Linked DNA regions of Mus musculus. The protein of the gene in region 1 interacts with the protein of each later gene in a biochemical or structural test. Links are inferred from orthologs where the notes say so. Each region holds a gene or a part of one and is shown on either strand. Other genes may lie near its edges. The genes, in order: Bcl2l2 and Bik.

Evidence for each region.
Region 2: the proteins of Bcl2l2 (region 1) and Bik interact in a biophysical measurement, tested with the Homo sapiens proteins (2 studies listed by BioGRID and IntAct, with this or other methods). The link is inferred for Mus musculus from reciprocal best matches to the Homo sapiens genes BCL2L2 and BIK.

The regions. Positions count from the first base shown.
Region 1 is NC_000080.6:54,881,495-54,887,412, reverse strand, and holds the start of Bcl2l2 (bcl-2-like protein 2), read right to left. Parts: upstream 3,989-5,918; 5' UTR 3,907-3,988; exon of another isoform or gene 3,709-3,906; intron 3,617-3,708; 5' UTR 3,529-3,616; intron 3,063-3,528; exon of another isoform or gene 3,040-3,062; 5' UTR 3,032-3,039; coding exon 2,600-3,031; intron 2,030-2,599; coding exon 1,880-2,029; 3' UTR 1-1,879. UniProt on the Homo sapiens protein: Promotes cell survival. Blocks dexamethasone-induced apoptosis. Mediates survival of postmitotic Sertoli cells by suppressing death-promoting activity of BAX.
Region 2 is NC_000081.6:83,525,327-83,531,310, reverse strand, and holds the start of Bik (bcl-2-interacting killer), read right to left. Parts: upstream 4,450-5,984; 5' UTR 4,375-4,449; intron 4,195-4,374; exon of another isoform or gene 4,064-4,194; coding exon of another isoform or gene 3,970-4,063; intron 971-3,969; exon of another isoform or gene 457-970; intron 394-456; exon of another isoform or gene 277-393; intron 1-276.

The DNA.
Region 1 (5,918 bases):
CTAACTTTTTTCAGCAGCAAAGCCCTTACCACAAATAAAATCTTACCCTGAACCCCGATACATAAGACAGCTACAAGGGGGAGCTGTTCTGTTTGAGGGCAAACTGCCCAGCCCTCCACTCCCTCATCTCCCTAAGGACTCCTGAGGCAACCCCTAGGACACTTCGGGGCTCTGCCAAGCAGTTTGAAAACCACTGGCCTAGTTTGTCCTGAGCAAGTCAGAGCCTCCCACTCTGACTGCTTGTCACAGACAGCTCCGAGTCTCTTAGATCATCACCCTCAAAACAGACCAACTGGCACATGCAGCCTCCCACATCCCCCATAGACACTATGAAAAAGTGCAACCTTCTCTCAAAAGCCAAAGTCTGGACTAAAACACCTGAGGCCAATTTGGTCCCACATTCTAGCAAGCACGATATGATGCCACATTCTAGGACCAAGTGAAGAGGTGGGTCAGCTGTGGTCTAGCCAAGCTGGTCAGTGCTCAGGAGAGGCAGGTAGGGTTCTAGAGCACTGGGAACGAAGTCAGCATTAAAGAGCAGCAATGTTAGCACCTTGGGAAGTGCAGCAGTGAGGTCTGGCTCAGGGCATGCATTTGGAGTGAATCATTTCCTCCCTCAAAAGAAAAGGCTAGAGTCTGGATTTGTTCTAGGGGACTGGACTGTGAGTTCTAATGTGACCATCTTCAGAGACTCGAGTGTTGACAACCTATGCAAAGAGCATGGCTTCAAAAGAAAACGCGTTAGGTCATGGCAGGTACTCTAGAACCCATATCCCTGGCCCCTGATAGAGCAGCAGCACCAAAAACCCACCACCCAGAACAGGCCAGTCAAGGAGTACCTGTCCCCATCACTCCCAAGGGACTCAGAGCTGGAATGGTCCTCTCAAGGTATCCGCAGTCTCACTGAGACAGTTCAGGAACTAAACTGAATTGTAGATCAGCATTTATGCCCGTATCTTCTAAAGGAAAACTAGATCCCCAATTTAGACTCAGCTGGATAGAGAGACCCTAGAAACAGGCAACACTTTAGGCACCATTGTGCCACCGTTGGAGGGGAAGGTGACAGGCAAGTCCAACTACCAAAGCTTCTACCCACCCAGGCTCCACAGCCTTACCCTTTTTCAGCCCAGGTGCACAGATGCACACAACAGGGGGATGATGAAGAACAAGGCCAGCTGCAGAACTCTTCTCTCCAAAGCCCTGCCAACAACTCTCGGCAGCACCAGAGCCCTAGTCTAGATACAGTGTTCCTCCCTCAGCCTGGAGGCGTAAGGTCAAGGGAAGGGGCAGAGAGGAGAAGGGCAGTGAACTGGCCCTTGTTCTTGCCATAGCAAGAAGGAATGTTTTCTCTAAGTACCCCACCACCAGATTCGACAGACAGCCCAGCATGCACATGAGCATGCTTGCATGTGCACATACATGCACAGGTGTGCCCATGCAGCCCACAGCCACAGCCATTTCACCCAGTCACCTGATCACCAAGCTTCCATCCCAAAGGGAAGTGAATTCTAGGCTCCCTAAATCCCATTCATCTAGTCGAGACACAGATCTTTGAAGTAAGCTCACCGTCCTTGGAGCTACAAGCCATGTTCCGGGTAGTTGTGTGCCCGCGATATGGGCATGATTCCTCCCACCTCCCCACCCCCACCCCCCAAGCCGTGGGATGACTCCACTCTCTGGGTTCTTGGCCTTGAAACATTCCTTAATGTTTCCAACTCATTCTCCCTGCCACCTGCCTGGCATGCTGGGCTCCCACACACACTACCTTCCCCTGCCTTTCTCTGTTCCGTGACCATCCAGTTTCTTCCAAGGGCATTCGCTATTGTTCCAGCTCTCCTGGCCCCTAGCCACACCTAGCCCCACCTGGCCCTAGACTTTCTCACTTGCTAGCAAAAAAGGCCCCTACAGTTACCAGGGCCCCCAGTGCCACGGCCCCCGTCAGCACTGTCCTCACTGATGCCCAGTTCCCCTCCCGCAGACGCCGTGCCTCCTCCAGGGCCCCGTCCCCGTATAGAGCTGTGAACTCCGCCTGTGGGAGAGAAGGGAAGTAGAGAAAGGAGAAAGGGAGATCAGGAAAGGATAGTGGAGAGACGAGGGAAGGAAGAGTTCCAGTTCCATCCACTGTGAGCACTGCCCCCATCCCCAGCTGCTCCAGCCGAAGCTCTACTGCACACAAGCCCCTCCGAACCCCGTTCCTGGCTCCTCTGCACTGTCTACGTGATGTCAGCCCCATCCCTTCCATGGCAATAAAGTTCCGTTCAGAACTGGCATCCTTTGCTAAGGCTTGCCTAGCCATGACCCATCCCTGACCGGCCTCACCACCCATACTATGTACGCAGGGGTCACAATTATTCGCTGAAGGTTCTCTGTTTATAAAACTCTATATTCAGTCTTCTGCTTGGGACCGTGAAGCCCATCCAGCTACTACTACATGGTAGCCCTGGAGTACTGTGAGCTTGATGCTCTCAGTCTGATTCCACTTAAATAAGGGAACTCAGCCCTTCCCAGCACAACCCCAGCCTCCCATCAGAGGCCCTATTTTCCCATGAAGACCAACTTTGTAGAGGGATGCGGAGAGCAGCAATTGAGAACTTCTTACCCAGCCCCCACTGCTGTGGATCCAGTCAGCCAGACGTGTCTCCAGGTAGGCCACCATCCAATCCTGCACTTGTCCCACCAAAGGCTCCATTTCTTTGTTGACACTCTCAGCACACAGGGCAGCCCCAAAGACAAAGAATGCCACAAGACGGCCCCAGTTAGGGCCCCCTTGGAAAAGTTCGTCGGAAACCTGGGTGAAGCGTTGCTGGGCTGAGCCTGGGGTCACGTGTAGCTGAGCGGCCAGGTCAGAGAAGGTGCGGCGGAAACGGGTCTCAAACTCGTCTCCAGCAGCCCGCATGGCTTGGTGCAGCGGGTCGGCGGCTGGGCCTTCCCCAGGGCCAGCTCCACAGACATAACCCTTCTGCCTCAGCTTATAGCCTACAAAGTCAGCCACTAGAGCCCGTGTGTCTGGGGTTGAGGCTGGGGTCGCCATCCGGGCGGCTGAAAGGGGCAAGGATGACAGACTGACATAAATATAAGGAAATTATTGACAGAGAGCAAGAAGGGACATTTCCTATTTGATCAAGCTCCTGAGATAGGTGAAATGCTCAGAGGCACTGGGCAGGGCCAAGAAAGAGCAACGGATTTAAGTCATGGGGAGGTTCAGAGCATAAGCAGCTGGCCACGTATAACATGTCAAATTAAGTGTGCAACAGGAAATCTTATTTTTAGACTACTTCAGATTCCTTTCATACGACAGCACCAGCTGTATGCCACCTCTATACACACACACACACACACACACACACACACACACACACACACACACACACACACCCCTTTTTGGCTATAGGAAGGGGCTTAAGACCTCCCCAGGAGCATGATGCGAAGATGTTGGCAGAGGCACAAGATAGGGAGGAGACAGGGGCTGAATAGGAAGATGGGAAAAGCCAAGGGCTGTAATGGGGCAGAAAGGAAGAGGACACTTACCCAGCCTGGATGGCAGCTCTTAGGACCCAGTGCTGGTGGCAGGGAGCCCCCAGCTGAGGCCTTTCATCCTCCCGGCTAGAGTGGAGCCCTGAAAAGGGGAGGGAGAGAGAACTAGGTGGGAAAGGCCTGGGTCTGGCCCGGAAAGAACTGGAACTGCAGCGCCTGGGACTGGGCCCCTACCTCCAAAGCTTTGCCAGCTGTGGGACCGATTCCGTGTTTAATGACTGCCCTCTTGGGAAACCCGGGACCACGGGCTTCCTGCCGACACCATCTCTATTCCCGGTACCCCCAAGAGCAGCCCAAAGGCCCAGCTCCTCCCATTCCCCCACCCTTAGCTGGTCTCCAACCCCGCCCGCCAGCCAGGTTAAGGAATCTCACGGGTCAGGCCGCAGCCGGGATCCGGAATCCGGTTGTTTCCTGGTGGAGGAGCTGGGAGGGAGGGAGGGAGGGAGGGAGAAAGGGAGGAAGGGAAGGAAGGAAGGAGGGAGGAGGGGAGGGCAGGGAGGGAGGGCCCGGCGCCGGGTGATGATGGGACACAGAGATGCGTCCAGAGAGAGGGGCGGGGCTGGGAGGCAGGGCTGGGAAGAGCCACAACTCCAGGAAGAGAGGGCCATTGAAGGGCTGTTCAGAGGCCATAGTGACCTGTGCCGGCTGCCTGCGAAGCCCGCAGTGTCCCCAGAGAAACACACCGGGCCTCAGCAGCTCAGTGCAAATTCAGCATTTCCGGAAGGTCTCTTCTGTTCACGCACTTGTTGAACTTTCCAGCTTGGATTGCGTGCCTAGGAAAAGCAGAGCAGTTCCTATTAAGCTGGGAACAACCTCTTGCCCTTGTGGGGCTAGTAGAAACACTAAACACAAAAATACTTCCCCTCAGGACCTTTAATGCAGTGGGCTCTTCCTTGGCTGGAGTTTCAGCTAGGTATCAAGGTGTCAGGCCTTGGTTTACAGTGTCCACAAGCAATCTTCATCTTTTGTAATCAGATTGATTTTCTTTTCATTTGTTACCCACCACAGGAGTTAATTCTTACTATTTAAAACAAAAATCAAACAATAAAAGGCACAAATTGATACAAGCTTACTAATCTTACACACCCTCTCTAAATACAGGTTACCAATGTTGGGTTAATACCTGTTTTACAGATTACATATATCTATAATTTACATGTGAATATCTACATTCACATATACATGGATTATATATACATTTATCCATACACATATGTTTATATAAATATGTGCTTTTATATATACACATACAATATAAATATGTTTATAAGTATAAATATATATGTTATATATAATTTATAAATGTATCAATATACATATAAATATAAAGTATATCAGTATAGTATATGTAAATATTTTTATATTTTTATATATTCCATATACATATTTATAATATACACATATATGTATATATAATATACATATATCTATTTATATGTGCATTTATGTATATATATATATGTAAAAATATGTATATATAAAAACCGAGTGTGTGTGTATTTTGAAACATGGTTTCTTCTCTGTGTAGCCCTGGCTGCCCTGGAACTCACTTCTATAGAGCAGGCTGGCCTCGATCTCACAGGGATTGGCCTGCCTCTGCCTCAGACACTATGGGATTAAAGGCCCGAGGCACCACTATCCAGCATGTGATAATATCTTTCTGTAGAGCAAGTTTCCAGGGCAAGAAGCTTTCTGACTACAGCAGATCCACAGGAGGGCACTCATCAGTGTGCTGATCCTCCCACCTCTCCCCCCACCCAGGACTCCTGAAGGTTGCCATTTCTTCAGCTCTGGAACTCCAGTTAAGGCCAGAAAGAGGCAACCCAATTATGCTTCTTTCCTTCAGTTCTTTCTTGTTACTTCCCCTTGCTTCTCCCACTAAACCTTGATGTTCCCACTTGTCTGTGTGGTCACCGGAGAAGCCACAATGATCATAGTAGCAATCCATTATGGGAATTGATTGTTTTGATTGTTCTCTCTCTCTCTCTCTCTCTCTCTCTCTCTCTCTCTCTCTCTCTCTCTCTCTCTCTCTCTCTCTCTTCCTTGTAGGTCAGTCTGACCTTGAACTCACAATCTGTCTATGCCAGCAGTCCAAATGGTATTGCAGGTGTGAGCCACAGATCTTTCTTTACATGTATAAGTTTTATTCTCACCTCATTCCTGAGACTGCTTGATCCTTATTCCTTGAAAAGGGGAAGCTGAGACTTGGAAGGATTAAACCATTTACCCAAATCCACACATCCAAGGAGAGGAGTGAGGACTTCAGTCTAAATCAGTCTGACCTGTGTTTGAACTCTTGACAATGAATGCCTCAGAATGACCTCCTTTCCCTCTGGCAGTCAGTGCTGTTGTTCCAGCTGGAATCCACAGCAGTTCTGAGTTCC
Region 2 (5,984 bases), on another chromosome or scaffold:
CTCCCTCTCCCTCTCCCTCTCTCTCTCTCTCTCTCACACACACACACACACACACACACACACACACACACACACACATATACACCAGAACTCTCTGCTTTTCTGTCTCCATTACAGAAGGCCAGAGTAGCAAGCTACCTCCTCCCCTTTCGGCTTCTAAGTTCTTCATATGCTCTGGCATGTTTGAGCCTGAGGAGGAAGTACCAGAGTTGACTGGGCTCCTCTGGGAGGTGGACTCCATCCTCTGCCTTCCTGCTGGTGGCATTGGGCTCTTACCTAGACCCTTTACTGAGCCTTCGGCATCCCATGCCCCAAGTAAGCCAGGCGGCCTGCTTGCTTCTTGGCCCTCTGTCTCCAGGACAGAATTCCACTGCTCCTGGCTCTGCTGTCCCAGCACCTCGGGTCAGCTGACTTGGATAGGGCACTTGGCTCTTTATGGCCTCAGTAAATGTTTACCTGTCTGTCTGCCCAGGGAAAGTCCTCTGCAAAACAGCAAGAATGAGCAGTTCACGGGGACAAGGGGGGACCATGCCCCTGTGTGGAGGACCCTGGAGTGGTCTCCAGCACCCAGCCTTCCACCAGACGGCCAAGTAGGTTCTCCTTCACTCCCCTCCCGAGCATGGTGAGCCTCCTCTCAGGTCGGGTAACTGGGCACCACATTTTCTCCCATCTCCTGAAAAACAGGTTTCCTTGGCAGTGCCCAGAGGGTGTTTTGTATTGTCACAACTCAGTGTTGACACTAGGTAAATCAGCTGCCCTCTCCATGCCACCCTGCGCCCTGCCCTCTCCCGCCTGCCCGGGACGCATTTGCTGACACTTTTCTCTGAGGCTTGGCTTCAGCCAACCAAGGGTAGGAGAAAGGAAGCAGCCACACATGTCCAGTCCAGACCTGCTGCTGGCTTCCTGGTGGCCACTCCCAACAAAAGCCGGGCATCGTTCGGCACTTCCTTGAAACAGCTTCCGAATTGTTCTAGGCAGAGAGCAAAACAGTGATTTCTCTGGCAGGATTCACTCAGTCAGCCGCAGAGGAAGCAAGGGTCATTAATTGTCCACAAATGTAACCAACTCACTGAAAACAGGATGCTTTCCGGGGGGTGGGGGGGATTCTGTCTGTGGCAGTGTGGCAGGACAGCTTGAAGACTCACTAGTCAATATGGCCTTCCAAATACCCCTGCCCTTCTACTAAGAGAGGTGGGAAAGGAACATAATAAGACAAGATGGCAAACTGTATGTACCCTGTGACTTTTCTTTCAAGGCAGGGTCTCCTGTTTTCTACATTGGCCTCCAACTCAATATGCAGCCAAGAATGAATGACCTTGAACTTTTGCTTCCTTCCGAGTGTTGGCCTCCACCCCTGGCATATGCGGTCCTGGGAGCTGAACCCAGGAATCTGTGTGTGTTATCCCGCCGCTCTACCAACTGAGCTACATCTCCAGTCCACAAGCTCTGGTTTCTTTGCTCTCAGCGAATCCAGCAGTGATTTCATTACTGTATATCAACCACCTTACAGTGACCAGCATGCAGGTAAGCCCTCCATCCAGAGAGAGTTCAGGCTATGATGGGCACCAGGAACCTAAAATTTGATGTTCCTTGTCTCACAGAACATGCAGGCTACGAATACATGAGATTATTTCAGACAGCCAAGGGCATAGGACAGAACAAATAATGGGTGAGATGTCAGGAAGGGTGGACATGGAGGGGTTGTCAGAGAAATGTCAACTGAGCAAAGACATCAGAAGATGAAAGGCCAGGGATGTATCACTCCGATGACCCCTTATAAACCTCCCAGTGCTACAAAAAAGGATCAACTGTGACAGGAGAGTAGCTCCATCACAGAAGGCCAGAGTAGCAAGCTACCTCCTCCCCTTTCAGCTTCTACGTTCTTCATATGCTCTGGAATGTTTGAGCCTGAGGAGGAAGTACTAGAGTTGTCTGGGCTCCTCTGGGAGGTGGACCCCATCCTCTTCCTTCCTTCTGGTGGTGTTGGGCTCTTACCTAGACCCTTTACTGAGCCTTCAGCATCCCATGCCCCAAGTAAGCCAGGCGGCCTGCTTGCTTCTTGGCCCCCTGTTGCTTAAAATACACAAAGCCCAGGGTCCCATCCCCAGATCTGGAAACAAAACAGATCTAGCTAACTTTAAAATGCTAACTAGGGTTCAGCTTAGAAGATAAGTTAAATGAGCCTGTCACCAAGTTGAAAAATGACACACTGCGTTTTCCAGCTCGGGATGAGAGCCAGCATCCTCTGGCAAAGGTGCACATTTTGAGTTAAGAAAGTTAAAAAATAAGCAATAAAGACCCATAACCCCAGGATCTCAGAGGCAGGAGAATTGAGAGTTCAAAGACAGCCTGGGCTATAAAGTGTGAGACCCTGTCTCCGAAATAGAAAAAGAGCAAAGCACAGACAACCTTTAAAACCTAACTCTGGAGGAACAACTGAGAAACAGCAGCTCTGTGACTTTGAAGGGGAGGCGCTGTAGTTAGATATGACCTGGGGGTCTCCAAAGATTGGGGTGTTGACATTTAATCCCCTTGTGAGGTATTTAAAGGGGAAACTCAACCTCACTGTGGGGTTTAGAGGCCGGACCTTTGAGAGGTGGGTAAAATGTACAATGTATGTCTTCTGCCAACAAAAGGGAGTCACCCAAGATGGCCCTCAACCCCACATGAATCACAAGCCAGAATAAATTTTACTTCTTTATAACCCAACCCAATGCACTGTATCTTATTAGCAACAGAAAGCAGACTAAAAGTCAGCACTAGGGAAGCAAACCGAAGGATTGAGAATGCGAGGCTAGCCTCTGCTACATAGTGAGGCCTTACTTAAGAAAACAATGGTAGTATACACAGAGCTGTGAGTTCCATCCCCAGCTACAAATAACCTGGATACAGTAACTATACCTGGAATCCTAGAACTCAGGTGGTGAAGGTAAGAGAATCAGGAGTTTCAAGACCATCCTCAGCTACATAGTGAGCTGGGGGCCAGCCTAGGCTACATGAAACTTTGCCTCAAAACAAAACAAAGAAAGTCTCAAATCCTGGAGTATAGAGGGGAGAAAATTGGCAGGGTGGAGTGAGAGATGTGGGGAGGGGCAAGGCTGGGAGGTCACGAGTGCCACCTGCCCTAGGCAGGACACTAGATCCAAAAGCAGCCAAGGACCCCAGGTGACCCTTAGGTGTATACTTGTAAAGGAGCAACAGTAAACATGCCCCAACCTAGTGGAAATCAAGGTAGCATTGCCGAGCTACTCAGCCACTTCTTGGGAAAGGTCCCTCCCCACCAGGCTAAACCACAACGCAGTTTACAAACTCAACAAACTGAGGTCCAGAATGGTGGAGGAGCCTGTAGAAAGCTACACAGTCAGAACAGAAAGTAGGTCACAGGTAGAGAGGTTGGTGTGGCCTCTAAGAAAGCCCTCCAGGCTTTGAAGGAGCCAGCTCTATGTAGCTGTTGGGACATAAGCCTATCTGAAATGAGGCCTGCTTCCCTGAGGTTAAAATTAAGGTTCACTGACAACTCCCCCATCCCCCAAAGTAGGTAGGAGACCAGCCTTCTTGAGAGCTGCAGCTGGCTCCAAACCCCTGTAACAGTGTTATCACCTGCATCAACGCCAACAACAATAAACAACACTTTGTAGGGGTGGTTCAGTACACTTCAGAACAGCAATTAAGTTTATAAAACAACCTGCATCCGCATCCTGAAGGCCACAAGGTGGAAAAGTGACACAAGTATTGAACCCCCAGTGCTGGTTGTGGCTGGTACACCGGCGACCTTGCCGGCCCCTCGGATGCACTCCCAGTCCCTGCGCCTGGGCGCAGGCAGGTGGCTAGGAGCTTCGGGGAAATGATGGTCTGAACTACCCAGGTCGCCTAAGAAGGCCCTTCTGCTGCCCCTCGAAGACCTATATCCCCGGGTCCCAGAGAGGACAGATGCGAAGCTGGATTCTGTCGGGAACAGGTGTGAATTACCAGGTCGCGGCAGGGACGGTGCGAATCCCAGGATCCCCGAGGGAGGGACAGATGCGAACTCTCCGGTCCTCGCGGAGACAGGTGCCGACGCCATCTTCCGCCTGCGGCCCGGGCTCAGCCTGGCCGCCCTACTGTGGCAGTGCCGCGCCCTGGTCTCAAGCTGCTCCCCCTAAGTTTTCGACAACCAGGGCACAGCGACAACGAAGGCCACTTGCTCAGCGCGCCCTAGAACCAGGACACAAGGGCCACCCCAGTGCATGGACGCACAGCGAGACACGCGGACCAGACTAGCACCTTCTGGGGTGTCAGACGCAGAGGGGACGTTTCAGAGCCGGGGCCACCGAGGGATTTGGGCACGGGTCCCCAACTTTCCAGCAACTTGGGCTAGGGCTGCAAGACGCTTACCTGCCAAGCTGAGCTGGCGTAGCGGCGGGCGAACTGCCCGAACACCCTCTCGGCTGGGACGCCGGTGGCGGAGTCGGGGGCGCTGGCTGGAGGCGGGTTATTGTGAGCGGCGGGCTGGACCCTGATAGGTGGCCGCGCCCTCCCCGTCCCGCCCCTTTAACTCCTCCCTCCGGGGCTCCAAATCCCCGGTCCCAATAAGTAGCTACAGAACCCCTGTTTTAAAGTCGTTAGCTTGCAGACATTCCTCTGTCGCCTGTAGACCTGCTACTGTGTCCCCGCCAGTGCGTCTGCGAGTGTGCTTTCCGCAGACGCCGCCTCTGCCATCGCCGCGGCCAAACCTTAGCAAGGGCTGTCTACTTGGTCCTCATAGTACTCCTAAAGGCTTGGTGCTTCTGTGGCTTCCCTTTGCTCCCGCCTGCTACAAGTTCCGCACTGCACCTCCAAATCTCCCCCTTTCCCCTCTCTCTTCTCTCCCGGTGTATAGGGAGCTCTCCCAGCCCTCCTTTTGGCGAAGACTTAGGGTGAAGGAGAGGATCGGTAGGAGGTGAAATCTAGAATTACAGGTGAAGTGGGAGGAGTTCAGTCTCCAGTGCCCTGGAGCAGGGGCTCCGAGGTGAGTAAAGATGGAGCACTGGCCGAATTACAAAGTAACCACTATCTATACAACAACAAAACTTGTTTATCCCAAGTCAGCTCCTCTCGGGATAGCAGAGGTCAGAATCTGGGGCAGGTGCCTCCTACTGCGTGCTTTGTCAAGTAGTCAGCTGGACTCTTCCCTCTCCTGTCAGGAGAGGGGTGGTGATATTTGGGGTTCCTTAAATCTTCTCCTGACACGGGAAGGCAGCCCCTCCCCCCACATGTTAGAAGGTCCTCGGCAGAATTTAATCTTAGAGGCCTTCCAATCCTGCCACTCAGATCTTTCCAGTTCTGTGGTCCTTCTGTCACCTCCAAGCCCAGAAGCAAATTGAACCCTGATCTTTGGCCATTAGCCATCAGGGATTGTCACAACCTGGAGTTGGGGGCAGGGGACCTTGAAGCCTCTCTGCCAATACATTTTGCAGATGAATTTGCAGAAAATTGAGACTGAGAGAAGAGAGGCAGTGACAAGGGGTCTCACAGTCCAGAAAGACCTGACCGGTCAGCAGATGCGTTCTGTAAACAGTAGACAAGGTGGAGGAAGGAGGCCAGTTTGAGGTCAGATGGGGACTTAGGGGCCCAGGGGAGGGGGTGAGTGAAAATATTTAGCCTGCAAGATCCCCAAGGCAACAGGCTGATCAAATGGGAGGCTAGCACAGTGACTCAATCCCTGAACGGCCTGCCGCTGGGGAGACTAGGAAGTTGGGTAGGTTCCGGGCAATATAGCAAGAATTCATTATTTGGAGGGGTTTGTTTATTTGTTCGTTTGCTTTTTCAAGACAGGGCTTCTCTGTGTAGCCCTGGCTTTTCTGGAACTCACAGAGATGTGCCAGCCCCAGCCTCCCTAGTGCTGGGTTTAAAAGCATGCACCAACCACTACTACCACCAGGCTGAGAATCCATGTCTCAAATTACAAAGAAAAACTGGGTGTGTTGATACCCCTGTCATCTCAGGTTTGGGAAGTTGAAGCCGGG